Linked DNA regions of Tamandua tetradactyla. The protein of the gene in region 1 interacts with the protein of each later gene in a biochemical or structural test. Links are inferred from orthologs where the notes say so. Each region holds a gene or a part of one and is shown in the gene's direction. Other genes may lie near its edges.

Evidence for each region.
Region 2: the proteins of RAB27A (region 1) and SYTL1 form a complex in vitro, tested with the Homo sapiens proteins (3 studies listed by BioGRID). The link is inferred for Tamandua tetradactyla from reciprocal best matches to the Homo sapiens genes RAB27A and SYTL1.
Region 3: the proteins of RAB27A (region 1) and SYTL4 form a complex in vitro, tested with the Homo sapiens proteins (2 studies listed by BioGRID). The link is inferred for Tamandua tetradactyla from reciprocal best matches to the Homo sapiens genes RAB27A and SYTL4.

Annotation. Positions count from the first base shown.
Region 1 is NC_135340.1:70,437,256-70,444,513, reverse strand, and holds the start of RAB27A (ras-related protein Rab-27A), read left to right. Parts: upstream 1-4,161; 5' UTR 4,162-4,376; intron 4,377-4,540; exon of another isoform or gene 4,541-4,672; intron 4,673-7,258. UniProt on the Homo sapiens protein: Small GTPase which cycles between active GTP-bound and inactive GDP-bound states. In its active state, binds to a variety of effector proteins to regulate homeostasis of late endocytic pathway, including endosomal positioning, maturation and secretion.
Region 2 is NC_135328.1:198,921,491-198,929,210, reverse strand, and holds the start of SYTL1 (synaptotagmin-like protein 1), read left to right. Parts: upstream 1-4,634; 5' UTR 4,635-4,768; intron 4,769-6,950; 5' UTR 6,951-7,000; coding exon 7,001-7,191; intron 7,192-7,720.
Region 3 is NC_135353.1:73,163,867-73,171,158, forward strand, and holds the start of SYTL4 (synaptotagmin-like protein 4), read left to right. Parts: upstream 1-4,199; 5' UTR 4,200-4,329; intron 4,330-5,280; 5' UTR 5,281-5,352; exon of another isoform or gene 5,353-5,399; intron 5,400-7,292. UniProt on the Homo sapiens protein: Modulates exocytosis of dense-core granules and secretion of hormones in the pancreas and the pituitary. Interacts with vesicles containing negatively charged phospholipids in a Ca(2+)-independent manner.

The DNA of each region.
Region 1 (7,258 bases):
TCCTATCTTCTGCCTCTTTGTATCTAACATTGTAGGTTTCTAATGTTTTTTTTCATCTCTTCTACTTTGCCTTTCATTCCCATAAGTTCTGTGATTTGTTTTCTCAGACTTTCGATTTCTTCTTTTTTTCGATTCCTTGCCTTTATATCCTCTCTCAATTCATGGATTTTGATTTTTAATGAAAATTTTCCATGTCTGTCCAAACATCCTGAATTAATTGTTTCAACTCCTGTATCTCATTTGAATTGTTGGTTTGTTCCTTTGATTGGCCACATCTTCAATTTTCCTAGTATGATTCACCATTTTTTGCTGGTGTCTAGACATTTAATTTCCTTAATTAATTTATTCTGGAGATTGTTTTCACTTTTTTTTACCTACGATTTTCTTGTTGCATGACTTCGTTGTCTATCTGTTCTTTGACATTCAGTTCAGCTTATTCTAGACCTCTAACTTAGGTTTTAACAGATCAGAATTTTTCAGATCTTGTTTCTTGCCCTATCTGTTTAGTGCCTTTTTTTCCCTTAGGAGGTTCTACTTAGGTATTATAGACCCCAGTCAGATTTTCCCAGCCCAGACTGGCCACCTCTCAGGAGGAAAGAGTCACCTCTATCAGTTTTCCCTGAGGGTGAGACCCAGCAGATTGAAAGGCTTTCCTGTGAAACCTCTGGACTCTGCATTTTTCCTATCCTGCCCAGTATGTGACACTTTTCTGTCTGCAGGTCCCACCAGCATAAAGTGATGGAGTGCCTTTAATTTCAGCAGTTTCTCCCTGCTGAGGGCGTGGTTGAGGCAGAGGAGAGTTTATAGGCTGGCTTTAATTGCTTCAGTTTTCCAGACCCGGGGGTCTGAATTCCTTCAGGGAGGGATTCCACCTGAGCTGGCCCCACCCGTTTCCAGGGGAAGGCACAGGCTCCAGGGAATTAACTCCTTTCATCTGATCAGCCACTTTGCTGCTCAGATAAGCTTAATTTTGCCCTGGTCTTGGGCAGTTGGAGCCTGAGAAGCCTTGCAGTTGTATGTAAGGAGCAATCAAGCCAAAGAAACACAGCCACAAAAAAGAACAGTAAAAAAATCCTTTTCAGTACAGGCCCCTGTTCTTCGGGTTTGTCAATCAAGAACTTAAGTTGGTATGCTGCTCTGTGTATCTCCAGGTCCTATGTGTGCCTCCTTTCCTTCAGGACCCAGGCCCTTACAAGTACTTTGTACTGTCTGATCCAAAAAAACCTTTTTTTTTTTTTTCTTTTCTTTTTCTGTCAGCCCTGCCCCCTCTGTGTGGGGGCAAAACCCAGCAACCTCAGCTTTTACTTGAGGTTCAGTTGAGCTGGGGGCCTATTTTTAGTAGTCAGTATTTGTTAATTAATTCCACAATTGGAGCTTGGTTGAGCTCAGCTCCTGCTGTTAGTAAAGTCTCTTTCCTTTCCCCTCTGGGAAGCAGCCTGTGGGGGAGGGGTGCCGGCCACTGTGGTTTGGGGCACTCATGGTTCTGGGGAGGCTCGCAGCCAGTCCAGCTGTTCCAGACTGGGGTATGCTGTGTGTCTGGTCAGTGATGTGGCCCCAGCAGTTGTTCTGTACTGTTCCTGGCTATTTACTAGCTGCTCTGAAGGATGAACTAAATTCCACACCTCACTAAGCTGCCATCTTGGACCTCATTTACTTTTTTTTTTTTTGGATTGGCAGGCACCAGGAAATGAACCCGGGTCTCCCGCATGTCACGTGAGAACTCTGCCTGGTGTTCCACTGTGGCCTGCCCTCATTTATTTTTTCATATAACCATTGGGATTTAAAGAAAATTTTATTTATTTGTTAAACATGACAACATACAAACATAAACATTCTTATCATATGATCATTCCATTCTTGATATATAATAAATAACTCAAAATATCATCACATAATTGTATATTCATCATCATGATCATTTCTTAGAACATTTGCATCAATTCAGAAAAAGAAATAAAAAGGAAACAGAAAAAAATTCATACATATTATACCCCTTACCCCTCCCTTTCATTGATCACTAGCATTTCAATCTACTAAATTTATTTTAACATTTGTCCCCCCTATTATTTATTTTTAATCTGTATATTTTACTCATCTGTTGATAAGGTAGATAAAATAACCACTGGGATTTCGATAGTGATTGTGTCAAATCTGCAGATTGCTTATTGGATATCTTCCCATTTGTTTGAGTCTTGTTTAATTTCTTTGAGAAATGTTTTGTAGTTTTCATTCATAAATCCTTCACTTCTGTGGTTAAATTTATTCCTAGGTATTTCATCCTTTTGGATGCTATTGGTGTAAATAGCAACTAAGAAAACGGGTTCTTAGTTCAAGTCCTGGCTCTGCCACTCATTAGCTGTATGACCTTGGTCAGGTTGCTCAGTCACTACAAGACTCAGTTTACGTATATGTAATACAAGGATGGGAATGGTATCTACTTCATAGGGCAGTTGTGAGAAATAAATGAGAGGATCCATGTAAAGTTCTTATCATATTGTCAGGCTCATAGTATTAAATAATCAATAAATGTTAGCTATTATCATTATCAGTATTCCAGGGAGCTTCATAATACAGCCTCCATTTATTTCTCTTGTTTCTTCTCTGATTGCTTCCTTCCACTCAGTATGTTAGGTTCTCAGACCTTCTTTCAGTTGTTCCAATATCTCATGCTTTCATTCTCCTCTGGGCCATTCCTCCAATCTCTGTTCCTACAATTCACCCTCATCCTTCCACCATATCCCTCCTTCTTAATTTTGACATCATTTTTTTCTGGAATGGCTTAATTATGTGTTACTTATCTGTGTTCCAGTTATACTCTTTCACTTCTCTTATTAGGGCCCTTATCTCAGTACTGGTGTTGGCTGCTTATTATTGGTCTCCTACTCTATGACTACAAGTTCCCTCAGAATAGGGCCAATTTACTTTCCTTGTTCACTTATTGCAGCCCTAATACAGTGTCTGACTTGTTAAATAAATGAATACGCCGTGAATGGGCCACAGGACCACTGTCCATTTTCTGATCCCCTGCCTGATAAACTCCTGTCCATAACCATGTTGGTTATGTGGGGGAGTAAAAATGGGGGTTCCTTTCCCTGTATCAGATTAGCCATTAGCAGTTCCTGCATTGTTGTTTCCCCAGAACTTAGGTGATCGGTGGTTCCCAGAACTGTTCCTGAAGACATAAACATGGGGCTACTTTTCCTTTCTTAACCCCCCAACAGTATGGTGGTCTTTGTGAAACCATCCCTCTGTGATGAATCCCAAGATCACTGCCACTATTTGGCAATTTCATATGGTTTATCCTATACATGATTTTGTAAATTGGACACATATACGAGAAACTGTATTATCATGCAAACTGTCAGTAACTACAGACTGGAAGAATGACGGTGTTAGATAGGAGTGCTGGGGCAGATGGAATTTGTGGTGGAAGTAGACACACGAATAATGAGATGGACAGGCAAAAGAAGCTGGACGAGGACTTCCAACCACTAAGCCACACCTAGATGTGGAATCATTTGGCTCAGAGTTGCTTTGCCTGAGAAACCACAGGGTAGGTCCATAGTCTACTTTTCACATCTCGGGGCTGCGTCCGGGTGAGAACCAGAGGACCTGACTTTGCCTCAGAGCCGCAGAAGGCGCTGCGGCTCACACAGAATGGCTGGCGCTGAGAGAAGAAACCTCTGGGTGGCAGCAAAGGATAGCAGATTCCTCCCGCCAGCTGCCGTTCTTCAAAGAATTCGTCTACTGCGTTCTTAGAAATTCAGAGTGATTTTTATAATCCGAATGAGAACGTGCGAGGAGAGATCTCTTTGGTCATTTCCCCCCAGAATCATATAAATAGTCACTTCCATGAATCCCAGCGCTTTCTCCTCACCTCGGGAAGGCCATGTCCAGGCTAATCCGAGTGAGGAGCTGGGAGCGCCGGATGGACGGTGAACAGAGCCGGATGGACGGTGAACAGAGCCGGACGCCCGGCGCGGATCCGGCCCCCGCAGGCTGGGACAGGGGGCGCCAAGGGCGGGAGCCCCCCCCGGGCCTCGGGAGCCAGGGGCGATGTGCAGCCTTTCAGCGCATCTGGCCACTACGGTGGAGTCACCGATCTGATGCCCTGGGGAACACCTTTGGAAAATGGCTTTGGGGGAGGAGATTTGGCGAGTCAACCAAACCACACCTCGCAGCGCGACGATCCTGGAGCAATTTGTAAATGTCACCCCCGTGTCTCAAAACGAAAACAACCCCTGCCCACCGCTAAGCTTTCGCGCCTTCCAGGAAAGGACAGTGGAGACCTGGCCTGGGAGAAATGAGACACACGGAGCCCTTTGGGACTCACGAGAGAACCCCGAGGTGGGGTCCGTCCCCGGCTCCCTCGGCAGGTACGGCGCGCCCGGGAGCCGCGCGGGAGAAGGGCGCCCGCAAAGCTCCCCACCAGGCGGCCCCGCGGCCCGCACTCCCGTCCCCAGAATAGGGCGGGGGGTGCGCTCTGAGGTGACAGGAGGAAGAGGGAGGTGGAGGGGAAGAGAGGAGGTCCCGCCCCACCTCGCTCTCCTTTACGGGAAGTGATGTGGGGCCAGACGGAAAATACCGCCAACCACCCCCCAAAACGCCGGCCGCGGGTGGAGGCGGCGCGCGGGGAGAGCTCGCAGCGGTGGGAACAGCCAGGCCGAGCCAGGTGAGGGCGGGCAGCTGCCGCAGGCCCGGGGTGCGCCCTCCGGCTCGGGGCGCTTTCAAAGCAGGTGGCAGTTCATCCCGGAGGGCTGGGCAGGCTGCCGGCACGTGGCACTTCGGGCTCTGGGTTGGGGGTGCGTGGCTGCAGCTCGGTTTCTCCCCACCTCTGCGCGCCTGACCCCGCCAGAAAAGTTGCTTTGTGTATCCCAGGCCCTCAGAACAGTGGCCAGCGATGACAGCCACTGGGGCAGCGGGTCAGCCCGGGCGAGGATCACATCCCGCGCAGCCCGAGCTCGGGCGGGGGTCCGAGGTCACCTCGGGATGGGCTCCAGGTGCGAAGGATCCCGTGAGGGAATGAGGAAACTTCACTGGTGGAGAGCACGAAGGTCCTGGATCTCCCAGATCTCTCCATTCCTCTCTTCTTGTTGGCTTCCCTCCTGTTTTGTTTTGTTTCATTTTACTTTTTTTTTTTTTAACCTCTTTACAGTCTTTCTGGTAAGGATCCGGACTGCAAACTAGCTGGAGTGGGGTGGGGATGGAGGTCTCCCTTTTTCTGTCAAACAAAAAACCCCACCAGACAGGAAGCCAGACCCTCGGGCCAGCCGATGTGTTGACAGGTTTTGGTAACTATTGCCAAAGCTTTCTCTTTCCTAATAGATCACCGATTAAGCAGAGTCAGACCTGAAGTGAAGGAAATCTTGTGAGTCCTTGACTTGACTTAGCTTTCACCGTCTTTGGCTCCTGCTGGCCAGTTGGGCCACCTGGTCTCTGAATCTTCTGCCACAGGGTCCTTTTCCTTACCTGATGTTGGCAGACGGTTTTTCCCTAATGGCTGGCTGATCAGTCAGATGTGCTGGTGCGGGATGGGGAGTGAAGTATTATGCCATGTAAGTTTTCACTAATTATAACTAATTTATTTTATTGGTACTCCACTGCTCCTGTTGCTTCTTTCTAGGTCTCCTAAGAGCTTGATTTAGGGAGAAATACTGAAATTAACCTTAACACGTCTGGAAAACAGGGTTTCTGCAGAAGGTTAAAAGTGAAGGAAGGTTGTTAATACAATGCTGAGGTGACAAGATCATTCTTTTCTATATTTCTATGTAGAAATATTTCTTGTATTTCCATATTTTATGTTATGTATCTTTATTCTTTTTTTTTTTTTGCATCTTTCAATTTCTATGGCATGCCTTGGTTTTCAATTTTGATGAAGCCCAGTTTTGCTATTTTTCTTCTTTTGTTGCTTGTGCTTTTGGCAGCATATTTAAGAAACCATTCCCTCTTCCAAGAATTTGAAGATACATAACTATGTTTTTTTCCTAATAGTTGTTATAATTTTAGCTCTTATATTTGGGCCATTGATCCATTGTAAGTTAATTTTTGGATATGGTAGGAGGTAAGAGTTCAACTTCATTGTTTTGCATGTGATGTATAGTTGTTGCAGCACCATTTTGTTGAAAAGGCTTTCTGCATTGAATGGTGTTGTGCCCTTGTAAAAAATCAATTAACTGTAAATGTGAGGGTTTATTTCTGGATTCTTGGTTTTATTCTATTGATCTATATATTTCTGTCTTCATTCCGGTACCATACTGTCTTGATTACTGTAGCTTTGTAGTAAGTTTTGAAATTGGGGAGTGAGTTCCCAACTTTGTTCTTTTTCAGGATTGTTTTATCTATTTTTGGGTCCCTTGAATTGCTATATGAATTTTAGGATCAGCTAGTTAATTTCTGTCATCTTGGCTTTAGAGTAGATGGAGAGGTTTGAAGTGGGCAGCAATCTCTAGGAACCAGACTTGATTTTCTCCTCCTGGAATTCTCTAGTAAATGGCAACTTCATTCCAGCTCTGGCTAAAAATCCTGGAATCATCCTTGATTCTCTTCTTTTTTGTATACCCGACATGTGACCCCGAGAAAATTCCATTGATTCTGCCTTGAGAACACGTCTAGGATATAACTGTTTTTCACCATCTCCACTGCGTTTATCAAGCTCCTCTCATCTCTGTCACCATCTACCTTTTATAGAAGCCTCCTAATTGACCTCCCTGCTTATACCCTCACTACTCTACAGTTTATTCTCAACGTAGCAGCCAAAATGATTCTTTCAAAACTTAAGTCAATCATGTCATTTGCTCCTCTGCTTAAAAGTCTAATGACTTAAGAAACTTTTTATTTTGAAATATTTTCAAACTTACAAGACAGTTGCAAAAAATAATACACAACCTATACGGTAAACTCCAATACACCTCCCACGCAGATACCTATATCCACCAACTTTTAACATTTTCACACATTTGTGTTACCATATCATTCTACCCATCATCTATATCCATCTATCATCTATTTCCTAAACATTTGAATACAGATTGTATATATCGTGCTCCTTGAACACTTAATACTGCCATGTACACATCCTAAGAACAGGTCTCCAATGGCTTTTTATCTCAGAAGAAAAAACAAATTCCTCATTGTTGCCTCCAAAGCCCTTATATTGTGTGTGGCTACCTCTGACTTCATCTATCACTCTTGCCTTTATTTCCTCCGTTCTAGTCACGCTGGCTTCCTTGCTGTTCCAGGATGTGCACCCACCTCAGAA
Region 2 (7,720 bases), on another chromosome or scaffold:
TGGAGGGAGGCTGTTTCCACCCACCTGGCTACAGCTCCTCCTTATCTTTAAGTTATCAAAAAGGGCCCTGTGCTGTCCACCTCATTCCCCTTTCCCACAGGCCCCTATGTGAGGGGCTCCCTGGATGGGACAATAAAGAGTTTTGATTCCACGTGGTGTTCTGTCATTATTTTCTCCTTCTCTGCAGTCCGCTAGTCCCTTTGGCTCATAGCTCCTTAGTGTCCTTGGCCACCTTCACCCCCTGGCAAGGGGTCTGGTTGAGTCGCCTTCATTACCTGGGGCTTGCAGAGACGCCAGCCTCCCTCAGGTACGTCCTGCTTCTGTGCCCAGGCTGTGGGGTACCACCCTTCTCTTTCCATGTCCACCATTCCTTTGCTTTCTCCTTGAGGCAAGCAGGTATTGAAACCCCACCCATAGTCCCTGTTGGGAAGAACTTGGCGGTAGGGTGGGGAGTTGGGGCTAAAGAGGCCTGCGCTTTAACTAGGCAGATCACACCCTTGGGCCCATCCCCCTCAAGCAGGCACACGGTTTGGTATAAGCCAAGTCCCTGGTCCTGTCACATCATCCAGGTTACCAGGCAGAACCTTGTGGTCACATCACGGCCCTGCTCCGCAGCACCGCCAGGCCTCCACCCTTCAAGGCCTTCCATGGTCAAACCATGCCTCCAGCCTTGCAGCTTTTTGCACACTCTGCTTTCCAGCTCTGGTCCTTTGCTTTTCTCCTCTTGAAGTCGTGGCATTTCTTCCCAAGGCCCAACTTAAAAGCCCCCTTCTCAATGAATCTTTTTCAACTCTGCTGTTGTGCCACATGTCTGCCAGTTGAACTAGCCCAGGGTTTTGTCTCTGACTGCCCTGAGGCCCTCGTGCTCATCCTGAGGCCAGGCTCTAGCTGCTGGCCACTGGGGTCCCAGATTGAGGTCTGTCAGCTTGTCCCAGACCCTGCAGAGCTGTGGCTTCTGAGCCTGGACCTCCTCCAGGATGAGGCCAAAGTGCCTCCTCCCTGCTTCAAAGCAATTCCTTATCAAAAATGTGTTGTATATTAGGGTACATCTGAGAATTGGTTGGGGGAAAAAAGAAAAGTTCTACTACTTAAGACAACCCACCCAGCATGATAGATAGAAAAAGTTCTACTGCCCCAGCCCAAGATTAACTGAAAATTAATCTTGGTAAGACAGGACATAACAGGTGTCATAAAAATAATCAACAGTTGTTGAGCGCTTACTATGTGCTAAGCCTTTTTCTAAACATCATTTCATCTTCAAAACAGCCCCATGAGGTAGGTGCTGTCATCTCCAGTTTACAGATGACACCAGCCCACAAAAGCAACTTAATTTGCTGAAGACCAGAGGTAGGAAGAAGCACCACGATTCCGTCTGGCTCTAGAGCCCCCACTTGGAGCTGCCCTGTGAGGTGTCCTCACTGGAGGAGAAGGAGTGAACATGGGAAGGGGCTGCCTCTCCAAAGGGCATGGATGCTGTCACCCCGGAGAAAGGGCAGGGTGCTGGAGGTGAAAAAAAACAACAAAACAGGAAACAAAGAACCAAGAATGGGCTTTTTCTGGGGAAAGAGGATCTAGGATCCAGTTGGTGTGGCATTACAGCTTATCCCTGTTAATAAATTTTCATTTAAAGATGCTCTTTTAAAATAAAGAATGTTGGGCTGTGGCTTTAAAACAAAAAGAAAACTTAAAAAGGCATAAAAGGGTTTGTCTCTTTTTTAATAATAATAAAAAATAACTACAACATTAGATAATTTTAAAAAATTCAAATACCTTAACTACTACTTTTACCTTTATTGCATGTTTCCATTCCTGTGCTTATGTATTTTGATATATTTTAATTGATGAACATACAATTTTATATTTTTTGTTTAACATTGTATATTTTATGCCTCTATATTTGATCACTTTTTTTTAATTTCATAAGCCATTTACCCAATTCTGGGCATTTGGTTCTTTGCTGATGATAACTTTGCAGTAAGCATTTTTAAACATGAAGGTATTTTTTGGTTGAATTTTATCCTTGATAAAATTAATGAGATCTCTGGTCTATCTTTATGAATCTTGAAATCATAATGCTTTGCAGAAGGGTTGAACAGATTTACATCATCTTTAACAATGAATGAATGTATCATTTTGACCACAATTTTACCAATGTTAGGGGTTGAATTTCAGTTAGTTGTTTTGCTAATTTTAATTGGTCTAAAATTTCTCTTTCTTCGATCAGTGAGATTGAATTTTTTCTACCTATTTTATTTCTTGTATGTTTTGCCTATTATCGCTTTCCCTCTTTTGAATTGGGGTTTCATTGTTTTTCATGCTAATCTGTATTACACTTTTAGTTTAATAAAAAATAAAATTAAGAAGCAGGAAGCACTCCTCTCCCCAGTCCTATGAGATGGCTGTCACTGTTGTGTCTGTTTTACAGAGAGAGACAATGAGGCTTACAGAGACTGTCATTGGTCCAAGGCCACATGGGGACCATGTGGCAGAGCCGGAATTTAACACACATCTTTTGGCTTCTAGGAGCCTGGCTCTTACCCACGGGGAGCTGCCTAGAAACTAGCCGCAGTGCAAAGACCAAGAACTCACTTCAGGAAGATTACAGGCGGGTCCTGGGGGGCGGGGGGCGGGGAGCGAAGGGTAGGGAAAGTCTTCCAGCAGTTGGAGGGGGGCACAAATGGATGGAAGTAGAGTCTGTGGCTAAGGCTCTACGGATGTAGGAAATGAAGGATGGGCAGAGCAGATTTATGGTGAGGGGCCTAAGGGTAAGGCTGAGGGGTCTGGCAGCCCAAGAGGAGGATAGACTGTCTTGGGAGGTGGTTAGACTTCTGTCAGTGATGGTGTTTAAGGGAGCCTGGTCTGGTTTGGAGCAGATTTGTGAGTGGGCCAGAGGGTGACCCTAGTTGTTTCCTAGCACCTTCCAAAGTGGAGAAATGACAATAGTTAGGTGTTGGAAAGGGCTCTCTGATAGCTGTGGAATAAAGGGCTGGAGGGGGCGCATGTGAAGGCAGGGAGACACGAGAGGTGGAGGCTTCCAGAAGACGCTGAGCAGGGACTGATATCTGGGCAGTGGGAGGGCAGGTGGAGAAGAGGCACAGATGGGAAAGTCCCTGGGGGAAAGAGAGGGTCTCGTTCAGTGACAAGCAGGGAGAAGTAGGTGGCCTGGGGGGACGGGACCACAGGGGCTCTTTACAGAAGTGGAACCTGGAGATAAAGTTTCAGGTGTGGAAGGGGCCAGAGGAGTTCAGGTTGAGATGACAGCAGGAGATGGATGGAAATAGCCGAGTCGAGGACAGTCACAGCTTTAGGAAGATCAGAACGGAGAGAGGGAGGGAAATTTAGAAACCTGCAGAGTAAACAAAGTTTGATGTCTTCCAGGAGTGAGGACTGCTGGGAGGTGGGAGGGGGGCCTAGAAAGAAACATCCCGTGATTCACGGGAGGAGCTGTGACCAGGATGGTGGGAAGGGCTGGGGATGCTGCTGGCCGCCCTCCTTCCATTCCGGGAGGTGAGCATGGCAGCAACCGCTCCCACAGCGGGCACACAGCCTGTGTCGCACATGTGTATTTATTAAGGGTCTGCAGGGATCTTATTAAATTGTGGTGAAAACCATTGATGAGGGGAAAGGCTCAGAAAAAAGATGGACTTGGAAAAAGAAAATGGGGAAGCCTGGTTCTTGGCTGGCGGGGGGGAGGGACCCCCAGGGGCTGAGTGGTGGCGCCTGTTCCAGAGCCCATGGGGGGAAGGGGGGGAGTGGAGGAGGAGGGGGTTTCCTTTAGAATCCACCCCTTGCCCTACCCCTTTCTTGGGGGTCTGCGAGGTACCCTCTGATCTTTAATCCGTGGCCCCAGGTCAGGGGCAGGGCAGGCCTTATGGAATGAAGTAGGCTTGGGGGATCAGGAAGCTTTGGTAATGCCTTACACTACGCCAGGAATGAAATAGCCTCGAGCTTCGTGGTTCCAAAGCAAGTGCATCTTAGGGCCCAAACCTTCTCTTCTAGGGTGGGGTCGAGTCTGAGAACAGAATGGGATGCCCGGAGGGGCTTCCTGTGGGCAGAGGCAGGGTGTGTGGGAGTCTCAGCCTTGGCACCAAGCTTCAGCAAACAAATGGAGTGCAGGGTGGCAGAGGGGGCAAAGAGGGCTGCTAGCTGCTTATTGCCAGCACCTCCGGAGGCGAGCCTGCATCAAAGGGGCAATGGTTGTTGAAATGGCCATGGGCACTGGACTACGTGGAGAGGGGATCCTGGTCCCTACTAGATGACAGCTTGGGCCAGGCACTTTCATTTTCTTTATAATAGGCTCTTCACACTCTGCTACCCCCAATTTGCACAGGAGGAAATTTTGCAGCTCAGAGAGGTTAGGAAACCTGCACAAGGTCACACAGTGATATAGGATGCCTTACTGCAAAGTATGCAATCCTGCCATTCCCCAGACACCCATTCTACAGAAGGGACAACCAAGGCTCTAAGGGCTGGTGGTTTGCTGGAGTTACTAAGTGAGTTTACTCTGGAACTGGGACCCAACACCTGGCTCCAAAAGCCCACCAAATCACCTCCGGGTGGGGCTGCCCCTGGGGAGCCAGGAGTCCAGGCCCGGTTTTGCATCAGGCCCTGCTGAGAAGGTGTTTCCTCCTTCTTGGTGGGGCAGCTGCTGGAGAGCCTGTTGAGTCAGCCTTAGTCCCTCACGGCTCTTCTCCCAGACCCTGAAACTCACTCGGCTGCCAGAGTCACCCTACAGAGGGGTCCCCTTCCTCACACTGGACCCCCACAGGTAACACAGCTCGGGGCTGGAAGTCCCCTGTTTGGTGTCCTGAGAGGCAGGCACTACCACCTGGAAGCCTTAGCGCTCTCCAGGACCTTAGGTGGGGGAGGCGGGAGTGGGCCAGAGACCGGAACAGCCTGACAGATGGACAGGTTCTTGGGTTGACCGGTGGGTCTGCCCCATAGGGCTGAAACACGGCTGAGAGGACTGGACCCTTGATTCTGTCCTTGAAGAGGGGACTGTGGGGAGGCGGCTGCTGCGGGGCCCTGACCTCAGGCACCCATAACCCAGGCCAGGCATTAGCCGTGTGGGGCGGACGGGGCAGGGTCACTCCTGCAGAGCCTGCCACCTCCACACTCACACTCACACACACACACACACACACACACACACACACACACACACACGGTGGCCTCTGCAGGCCCCAGGGCAGCAGACTATACAGCCCAACACACAGCCCAGTCACACATCCAACACAGGAAGAGACACACACACAGCGCCCACACACAGCCTACACAACCACACTGTCACCCAGATAGTCTTTACACACACCACACAGTTGCCCATGCAGCACCTCACTGTGACAGGACCCACAGACACACACCCAGCCATGCAACGTTCACACACACCAAATACATAGGCTCACAGGCCCCTGGCCCACAGACATGCCGCGAAACGCAGGCTCATCCAGCAGCACGATGTGACACAGAGGCAGACACACGGACCCAGGCACCGGGCCACGGGAGGAGGCTCCCACAGTGTGTCTGTCACACCAGCACCTTCAGCACAGTCGATGCTCAGGAAACACTGTTAGTGTTGAACACGTGGCCATTCACATGCTTATCCGGAGGAGCACAACAGAGACCTGCAGAATGGGGCTGGGGGAAACAGCAGGGGACTGGGGCTGGGCCACGGACACGGACTCAGCCTGGGAGGGGACAGAGCCCAGGAGGCGGCAGTGATGGCGGTGGGTACAAGCCAGGACCTGCCTGCTGAGCCACTCTCTTCCCTCTCGGCCCCGCCTGGTGCCCTGGCAAGGCAGGGGGAAGGGCACCGGAGGGCCGGAGAGGAGGGGAGAGATGGCCCAGCGGGCTCAGGCCACGGCTCAGCTCTGCCCAGGGCTGAGCATGGGCTCCCTGCCACGTCCACGCGCCCCTCAGGGCTGCGCAAATGTTTTCCTTCCGGAGTCACCGTGGGACCTGAGCTTCCCCAGCAGGTCTATGGGCCAGAGGATGGGGAGACCCGCGTGGCCAGAGCCGACAGGCGGGCGCGGGTGATCTGGGCAGGAGGGCGCTGGCAGCAGGGGCATCCCGGGCCCGAGGCCCCAGTGGGAGTGGGTGCGGCCACTCCCTGGGGGCGGGGGGAGGAAGTCGGGGGTGCAGGCTGGGGAGGAGGTTGCCTCAGACAGGAAGGCCAAGTGGGCCAGGGCGGGGTGGAGGTAACGAGTGAAGGGAGGGACGCAGGTTGGGAGGTTCCCAGGGTGGGGGTGTGAGCAGCTGCGTGAGTGTGTGTGCGTGTGTGGGTGTGGGTCTGTGCACATTTCCCAGGTGTGCAGGATCCTTTAGGTGCATTTCCACATGTAACTAATCACATTTTTACCAACTATCTGTTGTGTGCAAATTATGGGCTTTGGGGGCGTTGCCCCATCCCTGCCTTCAAGGAGCTCACAACCCAGTTGGGGGGCAACACGTATGTGTGAAAGTCTGTGTGATTTGTGTGCGTCTGGGGACACATATTTGTCCCGGGCCTTATTCTCGTACATGTGGCCGGGGGTGGGATGGGATGGAGGGGCACCCTGTCCATGCGTGGCCCAGCTCAGTGGAGATCTCGGGCAAACACGCCTCCCGGCTTGTGCCTGTGACTGATGCACCTCTTCCAGGGATGGGCCGTGCGCGTGTCCACGGGCACCCGTTTCTACCTGGGTCAGCATGCGCATGCCCACATGCTCCCCCTCCATGGTCCTCTGTGTGTCTCCACCTTCAGGGTGTGCACATGTGTCTCTGTGCACGTCTTCCAGTGTGTCCCTGAGTGTGTTCCCCCACCCACATATGCACGAGTCTATGGGTATATCTGACCCCGCTGGACCTCAGCCTTCCTGGGGTTGTAGTCTGCCCCCATCCCGGGCACTTGCTGGGGCTGCTCTGCCCCAGAGTGTGCCCCGTATCGGGGCAGAACCTGACATGACCTCTAGTCTGCCCCCAGGGAGCCACGCATGCCCTGCCGGGGCATGACCCCCAGCTGATGCCCCTCAGGGGCCACCCATCGCAAGAGGGGCTCGGGGCCCTGCCCTCCCTCCCCATGGCACACGGGCTGGAGCCTGAGGCCGACAGGCTGCTGGACCTCAGCTTCCTGACCGAGGAGGAGCAAGAGGCCATTGCCGACGTCCTGAAACGAGATGCCCACCTGCGCCAGCTGGAGGAGGGCCGGGTCAGGTGAGGGAGGGCAGACCCTAGTCAGCGGAGCCCAGGAGAAGGGGCCTCAGGCACTGGGAGGGCCCCTGCTACCAATGTCATCCTGGCAGAAGCCTGAGAAGTTCTTGACCTTGCCCTTTGGTTCCCTCTGCCCTTGGCCAGCTCGGAGCTTCCATCCCCCCACCCCAGGGTGGTTGCCCCAGCTTCCTCATCAGCCTCCCTGCCTCCAGCCTTGTCCCCTCCGGTTCCCCTGCCAGGCTGCAGCTGCAGATTCCCAGGCGTGTCCTCGATAGTCCCTGCTGAGACCTCCCACAGCTCCTCAACACCTACAGCGTCCAGGGGAAGGTCCTCAGTGTGGCCCACAAGGCCCCCCTGGATGGGGCCCTGTCAGCCTCCCCACCTCATCTTCCACCAGGAACCATCACCACCCCCAGCTCCCATGTACTCTGTACTCTCACGTACTCTGCAATCCCTGAGTATATCCTTCACTCTTAAGCCAGTGCTGCTGCTTCTTCCTGGAGGGGCAGAGGTAGCGGAGCAGGGGAGTTAC
Region 3 (7,292 bases), on another chromosome or scaffold:
GGAAACAGTGGGCAACAGCATCAAACATTGCTAGAGGGTCAGAATAAAATAAAACACAAAAACAATCACTGCTCATTTTACCAAGGAGTCCCTATCTTTTGCTTTTATATCCTGGTAAGTAATGGTTTGGCTTCCCTTCTCCCCAAGAGGCTTTTTAAAAAATAGTATATGTCCACTTCAGAATAAATCACTTGAATAGGTCTTAAAAGTTTTCAGCCCTTCATTACCAATTTCCAAAGAAAAACCAGTCCTGAACTTAGTCTTGGCCATAGATAAAGGAACCCATCCTCAGTACAATTCAGCACATTTTCCCCTGACCTGTACTCTCTTCTTGAATTCAGCAGCAAAACCTGCTTATTGACATTTGTATACACCTCCATTTTACTCCCTTCCTTTGAATGTCCTTCTCCCTTCTCCCCTTCTACCATACATTTCAAAAGTATAAGTAGAATGTATGAAGAACTCTAACAACTTAACAATAAAAAGACAAGTAACACAATTGAAGAAAGTTAGACATGCTAATAGATAATAAGCACATGAGAAGATGCTCAACATCATTCATTAGTCATTAAGGAAATGTACAGCAAAATCACAATGAGATGCCACACTTCACACCCACTAGGTTCTATGATTTTTAAAAAGACACATAAATACAAGCTTTGGTGAGGATGTTGAAAAATGAAAACTCCCATACATTGCTGGTGGGAATGTAAATTGGGGCAGTTGCTTTTGAAAGTGGTCTGGCAGTTCCTCAGACGGTTAAACAGAGTTCCCAGATGACCTAGCAATTCATTCATAGGTATATACCTAAGAGAAATGAAAACATATGTCCATATAAAAATGTATTCACGAATGTTCATGACGGCATTATTCATAATAGCCAAAAGTGGAAATAACCGAAATGTCCATCGATTGATGAAAGGATAAATAAAAAGTAGCATATCATTATTCAACAGCAAAAAGAAGTACTGATACATACTACAATGTGGATGAACTTGAAAACTTTACACTAAGTGAAAGAAGCAGTCATAAAAGACTACAAGTTATGTGATTTCATTTACTTGAAATGTCCAGAATAGGCAAATCTTTAGAGACAAAAATTAGATTAGTGGTTCTCTAGGGGAGGGAGATGTTGGAAGGAAATGGGGAGTAACTGCTAATAGGTAGGTGGTTTCTTTTTGGGGTGATGAAAGTATTCTAAAATTCACTGAGGTTATACTTGCTTGCACAACTCTATACTAAAACCCACTGAATTGTGCACTTTAAATAGGTGAATCATATGGTATGTGAATTACATCTGAAGAAAGCTGTTATTAAAATAAAAGTGTAAGGAGACCAAATTTTTTTCTAAGGAGCCATTTGTAACTATTCCCATTCAGCTTGGGGTCACCAGAGTTTTCTTTTTGTATTTATGCATGCAATCCTGCTCAATTGCATTTGCCTATACAGGGCCCTTTCTTTCTGTGTACTTTGTGCTTACCTATGCATTAGCATTCTAATCCTCAATTAATGCTACGCTATGCCTTCTCTACCTGTATGTCTAGAATTTCCAGAGAACATTATACAATCATGTGAATTGAACCTCAGAATGGAGGAGTACATGGGCTTCAACTATATTGGCAATGCTTTATTTCTCAAGCTGAGTGGTGGGCATGTCCTTGTTGCTATATTATTCTTTATATGTTTATGAATTTTAAAATATTTAATACTTTTTAAAAAAGTAATTGTTCAATACCGTCACCTGGGGCTGAGGAAAATCTCCATCTCTTTAGTTTGCAATAGCCAAAACTCCTTCAAAGTGGCAAAGCAGAACAACTCCATGAATCAAATTATTCACAATGGATTAGGAGCTTACATGCTATATATAAAACGATAATCCATAAATTCATGCTTACATTTTTGCACAGGATAGCACCTGGGTTTGCTTGCGTTAGATCCTTCAAACTATTTAGTATATGAATCCTTGTGGCAGACAAAGAGGATCAAATAGAAATTGATAGCAATTTGCAAAGTACAGAATATATGTAAGCAAACCATTGATTAACTTTGTTTTGGTTCATTGTTTATGTTGGTGTCTCTGTGTATTTGCAGCTGGGTTAGTGAGACGCTTAGAGAAGACCAGTCAGATCCTCACATACTCTTTAATGAGGCAGACCTTGCAGGGTTAGAAATTGCACATGTAGAAAGAAGTAAACGCTTAAAATAATATCTCGAAATTTTGCAACTTGCTGATGAATAAGAGGGTTGAACTAAATGTTTTCTGAAGTCCCTTCTGGCTGAGGGTGTTAGCAGTTCTCCCCAAGTACCTCCTGGGAAGGGGCAGAGAAGTGCTTGGTCTGAATGCCCACAGGCCAGGGCGAGAGAAGACTCCTATGCCTCTCGTACATCATTTCCACGACGGAGGTTTGGGAGATGCATTCAAAGCTCAGGGCTGAGTAGAGTGGCCTCGAGGCTGAAGTGGCAAAGCTAGGTAGAAAAAAAGGATTTCCTTTTTGAAATGACCTCACTTCAGGCTGGGGGCAGGGTATTGAGGGGCTAAAGTAACTAAGAAAACTCTGGGAAAGAGCCTGGGAGCTGTATTTTACTGTTTGTCTGCTAGAATGAAGAAAATTTTTTTCTTTACCTTTTTAAGATTTTAAAAAAGATTTGTTATATTATCAAAGCCATACATGCTCATTACAGGATAGTTGAAAAATACAGAAAAGAAGAAGAAAAATGAAAATTCATTTAGTCCATTGTATGACCATATTTTAATTTAAAAAATTTTTGTTTTGTAGTATAACGTATATACAAAGAGAGAGAAAAGCAATAGTTTTCAAAGCACTCTTCAACAAATAGTTACAGGACAGATCCCAAAGTTTGTCATGGGCCAACATATGATCCTCTCAGGTTTCTCCTTCTAGCTGCTGCTCCTGAATATAGGAGGTCAGAAGGCATAAATATTTTTTTATCATCACAATCGACTTTTTTTCTTTTTTGTGAAAAATGACATATATACAAAAAAGCAATAAATTTCAAAGCACAGTACTACAATTAGTTGTAGAACATATTTCAGAGTTTGGCATGGGTTAGAATTCCACAATTTTAGGTTTTTACTTCTGGCTGCTCTAAGCTACTGGAGACTAAAAGAGATCAATTTAATGATTCAGCAATCACATTCATTTGTTAAATCCTATCTTCTCGGTGACCATACTTTAATTTACTTAACCATTGAACCATTAGTTTTCTTCCCTAGTATTTTACTATTCTAAGAAATACAAGGAAGGTAAGTGGTGTGTTGGAGAAGGAAGCCAGGTTGCTGGAGAATAAGAGATGAATGAAAGGTAGGAGAATGGAAATAGGAATGTACCTTTAAAGTACATTTTCAATCAACTTGCCTATAAAGAGGAGCTGGAGTCGACTTCGTGCGTAGGGAGGATATATATTTTTTAAGGTGAAGGAGAATTGAGCATGTTTAATTGCTGATGACAGCTTCAGAGAGGCTTGAACAGGTTTAATGGCTAATGAGAGGGAGGGAGGGAGAGAGTGAAACCTACAATCTACAATACTGGGTAGATATGAACATTTTAAAATCTATTAGTATATATTGCTCAGGAGCTTTGTAAGACGGTTTTTACCAGTACACTCCTACTAGCAAGTCTGAGAGAGCTCGTCCGTGGCCACTTTGCTATCCGTAAGTTACAATAATAATAAAAAAAAATTTGCTAAAGAATCGCATCATTCTAATTCGCTTTCTTTGATTACTAGTGAGCTGAATATTTTAACCAGTTGTTCCTTGTGTGTACATTTAGTTTATGTCCTTTGCCCACCATGTTTTTATTTGAGACACTCTTATTTGCCATAAAAAGCCGAAAGCCAAAGGATCAGAATGATATAACATTTTAGGCTTCCAATTTATGCAGTCCAGAGTCTTCATATTCTTAAGTACACGACAGTTTGACAACTTTGGGCCCAGCTGAGCGGAAGAAGGTAATTTTTACCATCGAAGAGAGTAGGCACAGATGGAAGTAAAGTCTTAAAACCGTCTAGTCTTAAAAACCTGTCTTCAGTCCTCAAGCTCCCTTTCCTAACCCGGGAGACACCCATTTGGTGGCCAGAGCTGCCCTGGCGGGAGTGGCCCGCTAGTAAGGAGCCCAGAACGCTGTGCGGCCCCTTTAAGAGTCCAGCTCCTCCCCGCTCCAAAGAAAGTTGCAGCTTTTTCCGCCTCCCGGGAGGGTGAGAAGGACGGGCCGCAGGAACGGGCTTGTGGTCTTCCTGGAGTTTGAGACTCTCCTCTGAATCCGGCCCTCGGACATCTCATCTGCTCGCAGCACTTATTGCAGGTGACAGGTAGGTGCGCGACCAGCGGCCGCCCCTTCTCCCTCAGTCCGGTGCTCCTTCTGGGCCCCCAGTCCCCTTTTCGTTTCCGAAGCGCCCCCTCCCACTCCGCGTCTCAGGGACCTGCGTCCTTCCCCCACGCCCCTTACGCCATTCTTGTCTTTCCTTCTTCCTCGCTGACCGTCTGCCCCCTCACCCCTATTCGCCTCTCTGGACCGACCACCCACGCGTTGCCTCCAGTGTGCTTGGGGCGGTCACTCCCTGCTGGTTTTCTTTCTCCCGGGCCTCTAGTGTCCTCTTCCCCTGGCCCACCCGTTACTAACGCGGGCGGTGCCCCTGTGGGCTCTGCCTCCTCCCTTCCCCACCCCCACGGAGTGCACCGGCTTTTCCCGCCTGCCAAAAACCAGGGCCCCTCGGGAGAGCTAGCCGTAGGGGCGGGGATAGGGGCCAGCTCCTAGCGGAACTGTGGCGCCCTCCCAGGCGTCGAGTCCCATTCCCATCGATTCCTCCTGGCCCGAGTGCTAGCGGGATCTCTGCTGCTCACTGCCTCAGGACCTCGGACTTCGCGGCATCGGCTTCCCCAGCCTTGGCCGGTCCGCCACTGGTAAAGGCTGGAGGCTTGTTGGCCCAGAGCCCTGCCTCAGTGGGCTTTCTCAGCGCTTGGGGTTGGTGACCCGGGACCAGGCTTTGTGCTCTAGCACTGAAATGCTTTGTCTTGCCATCCTTTAAGCAGGCTGCGGGGGGAGGGGGGTTGCTTCTGGAGGAGAGTCCCCGTAACCTTCAGAAGGGGGCTTAGAATGCTTCCAGCTTCTGTGATGGTTTGTAATGGGCAGAAAAGGTGTCCCTAATAGCTCTTAACGTTGAATGAGATGGTTGGGTTTTTTTGAAGGTAAAATCTTTTGGTTAGAACCCTAGTGGCTTAAAGTGACTTGTTTTTCATTAACCGACTTTTTCTTCCCCCAGTGCCCTGCTGCTTCGGACCAGAAGACCTAGCATTCCAGAATACAGCTTTTGGCAGGGTTGGCCCTAGACCTTGTACGTTTGTGGCAGAAATTAGTCTTCAATACATCCTGGACTTACAGGTTTTTAAATGGCTTCTTTCCTGCCCTCTCAACTCCCCACCTCCACCTCTCATAAATCCATTCATATTAAGGTGTTAATGACCTAATGTGTTTATCCTGCTGGTCTGCAGAGAGAACTCTTTAATGCAAAGAGTTGAGGTGCTGATGAAGTTTTTTTTTTTTTTTAGCACCTGCTGGAAATCCTAGTAGAAAAACACCACCTTGGTTTGTGAGGCTTTTCTTGGGCAGGGGATGAACATTTTGGATAACAACATTTCAGGTACCTCACTCCTGGTCAGAGCGGTAAAATGGAGGTCAGAGTGTACTCCTTGAGTGTGTGTAGATTCTGGTTGATGGCCTCTCCTTAAAGGTTGCTGGTAATAATAGTTGTTAGACTCCATTGAGCCAGTGTAATAAACTCATTGCATGGTTATCTCATATAATCCTCATGATAACTCTGCAATAAAACTACAATTATGACCATATTATGATGAAAAGGAGGCTTAAGTGCCTTGTCTCAATCACCCACCTGATGAGGGGCAGAACTGGGCCACCTGACTGCAGAGCTTGTGTTTTTATCCTCTGTCATAACACCTCTACTGTCTTGGATATTAGGAATGCTAATTGCTCATGACTGAGGACTAAGTGATTAAAAATATCCCTTCCAAGATGAAACATAAGTTTTGATCCTTGATTCTACTTTAGATTCACTGTGGAGACTTTGGACAATTTACTTCAATGATGTCTTACCCACTTTCCTTCCAACATGGGGCCAATTGCTATGTTGCCACTCTAAGCACATACCTTTGTGTGTATCCAGATGAGTGAAACCTGGGCTTTCAGCTCAGTAGTGATTCTCCCGAAGTTAGGAGAGGGTAACCCTGGATTCTAGGGATGTGCACCTGGTTCAACTTCTTCCTCTTCTTCTGGCTAGGGGAGAAATGAAGGTGTGGTAGGTGATAATGATTTACCTACAACCAGGCCAGAGAGCCTGATGATGATTGTGTGCTTGTTTTGTCATGGCATGCATGGGGCATACCATTTTTGGGTAGGGATAGTCCAGGGTAAAATGTCCTCCTTGATCTCATCTCTGAGACATTGCTCACACTGCTCCCCTCCCCTTTTTTTCCTAAAAAAGCTAACTTGCTACCTGCACACACACACCAACCATTAATTTTTATTCATCTCTAAATATTTAGCTCTAAAGTCACCTTCTTTGGGACAAACTCACTGAATACTCACTTCCTTCCCCTAAGCAGAAGGACTGATTACCCCGTGTCCTAAGGCAGTTGTTTATACCTCAGTAGAGCCAACACTTATCCTACCTGTTTTTCCATGTAAGGTTGTACCCTCTTTAAAGGGCAAGGTCTGGATCTTGGAGTTCTCTTTGTCCTAAGTGCAAGGGATTAACAAGTATTTGTACTATTAACTGGGGATGTAGTGCCCTCAATGGCCTGAGGTCTGGTGATGGTGTGAAGTACAAAAGACATCCTCCTGAGGCACTTGAAATCCTGCAGCTCAGTGTTTTTACTTAAATGTCACCTTGTCAATCAGGCCTTCCCTGACCACCCTATTTGAAATTGCAACTGCTTTTCTGAGCATTCTGTATAATCCATCCCTTCTTGATTACTCTCATTTTTCTTGCCTGTTGTCTTTCTCCCTCCAATATAACATAAGCTCCCTGTGGGCAGGGACTTCTCTGTTTTATTCGCTGGTATATCCCAGCACCCAGAACAGAGCCTGGCATATCGTAGGTGCTTACTAATATTTGTTAAATGAATTGATGAACGACAGTACCATTCTATGAACTGGCATTCTTTTGTGGTCTCCTGGACCTAAGGTGAAGCCCTACCCAGTTGGACACACTATAACTGTAAGGTTGCCCCAGACTCAGTTCTCCCACAGCCTTCCTTC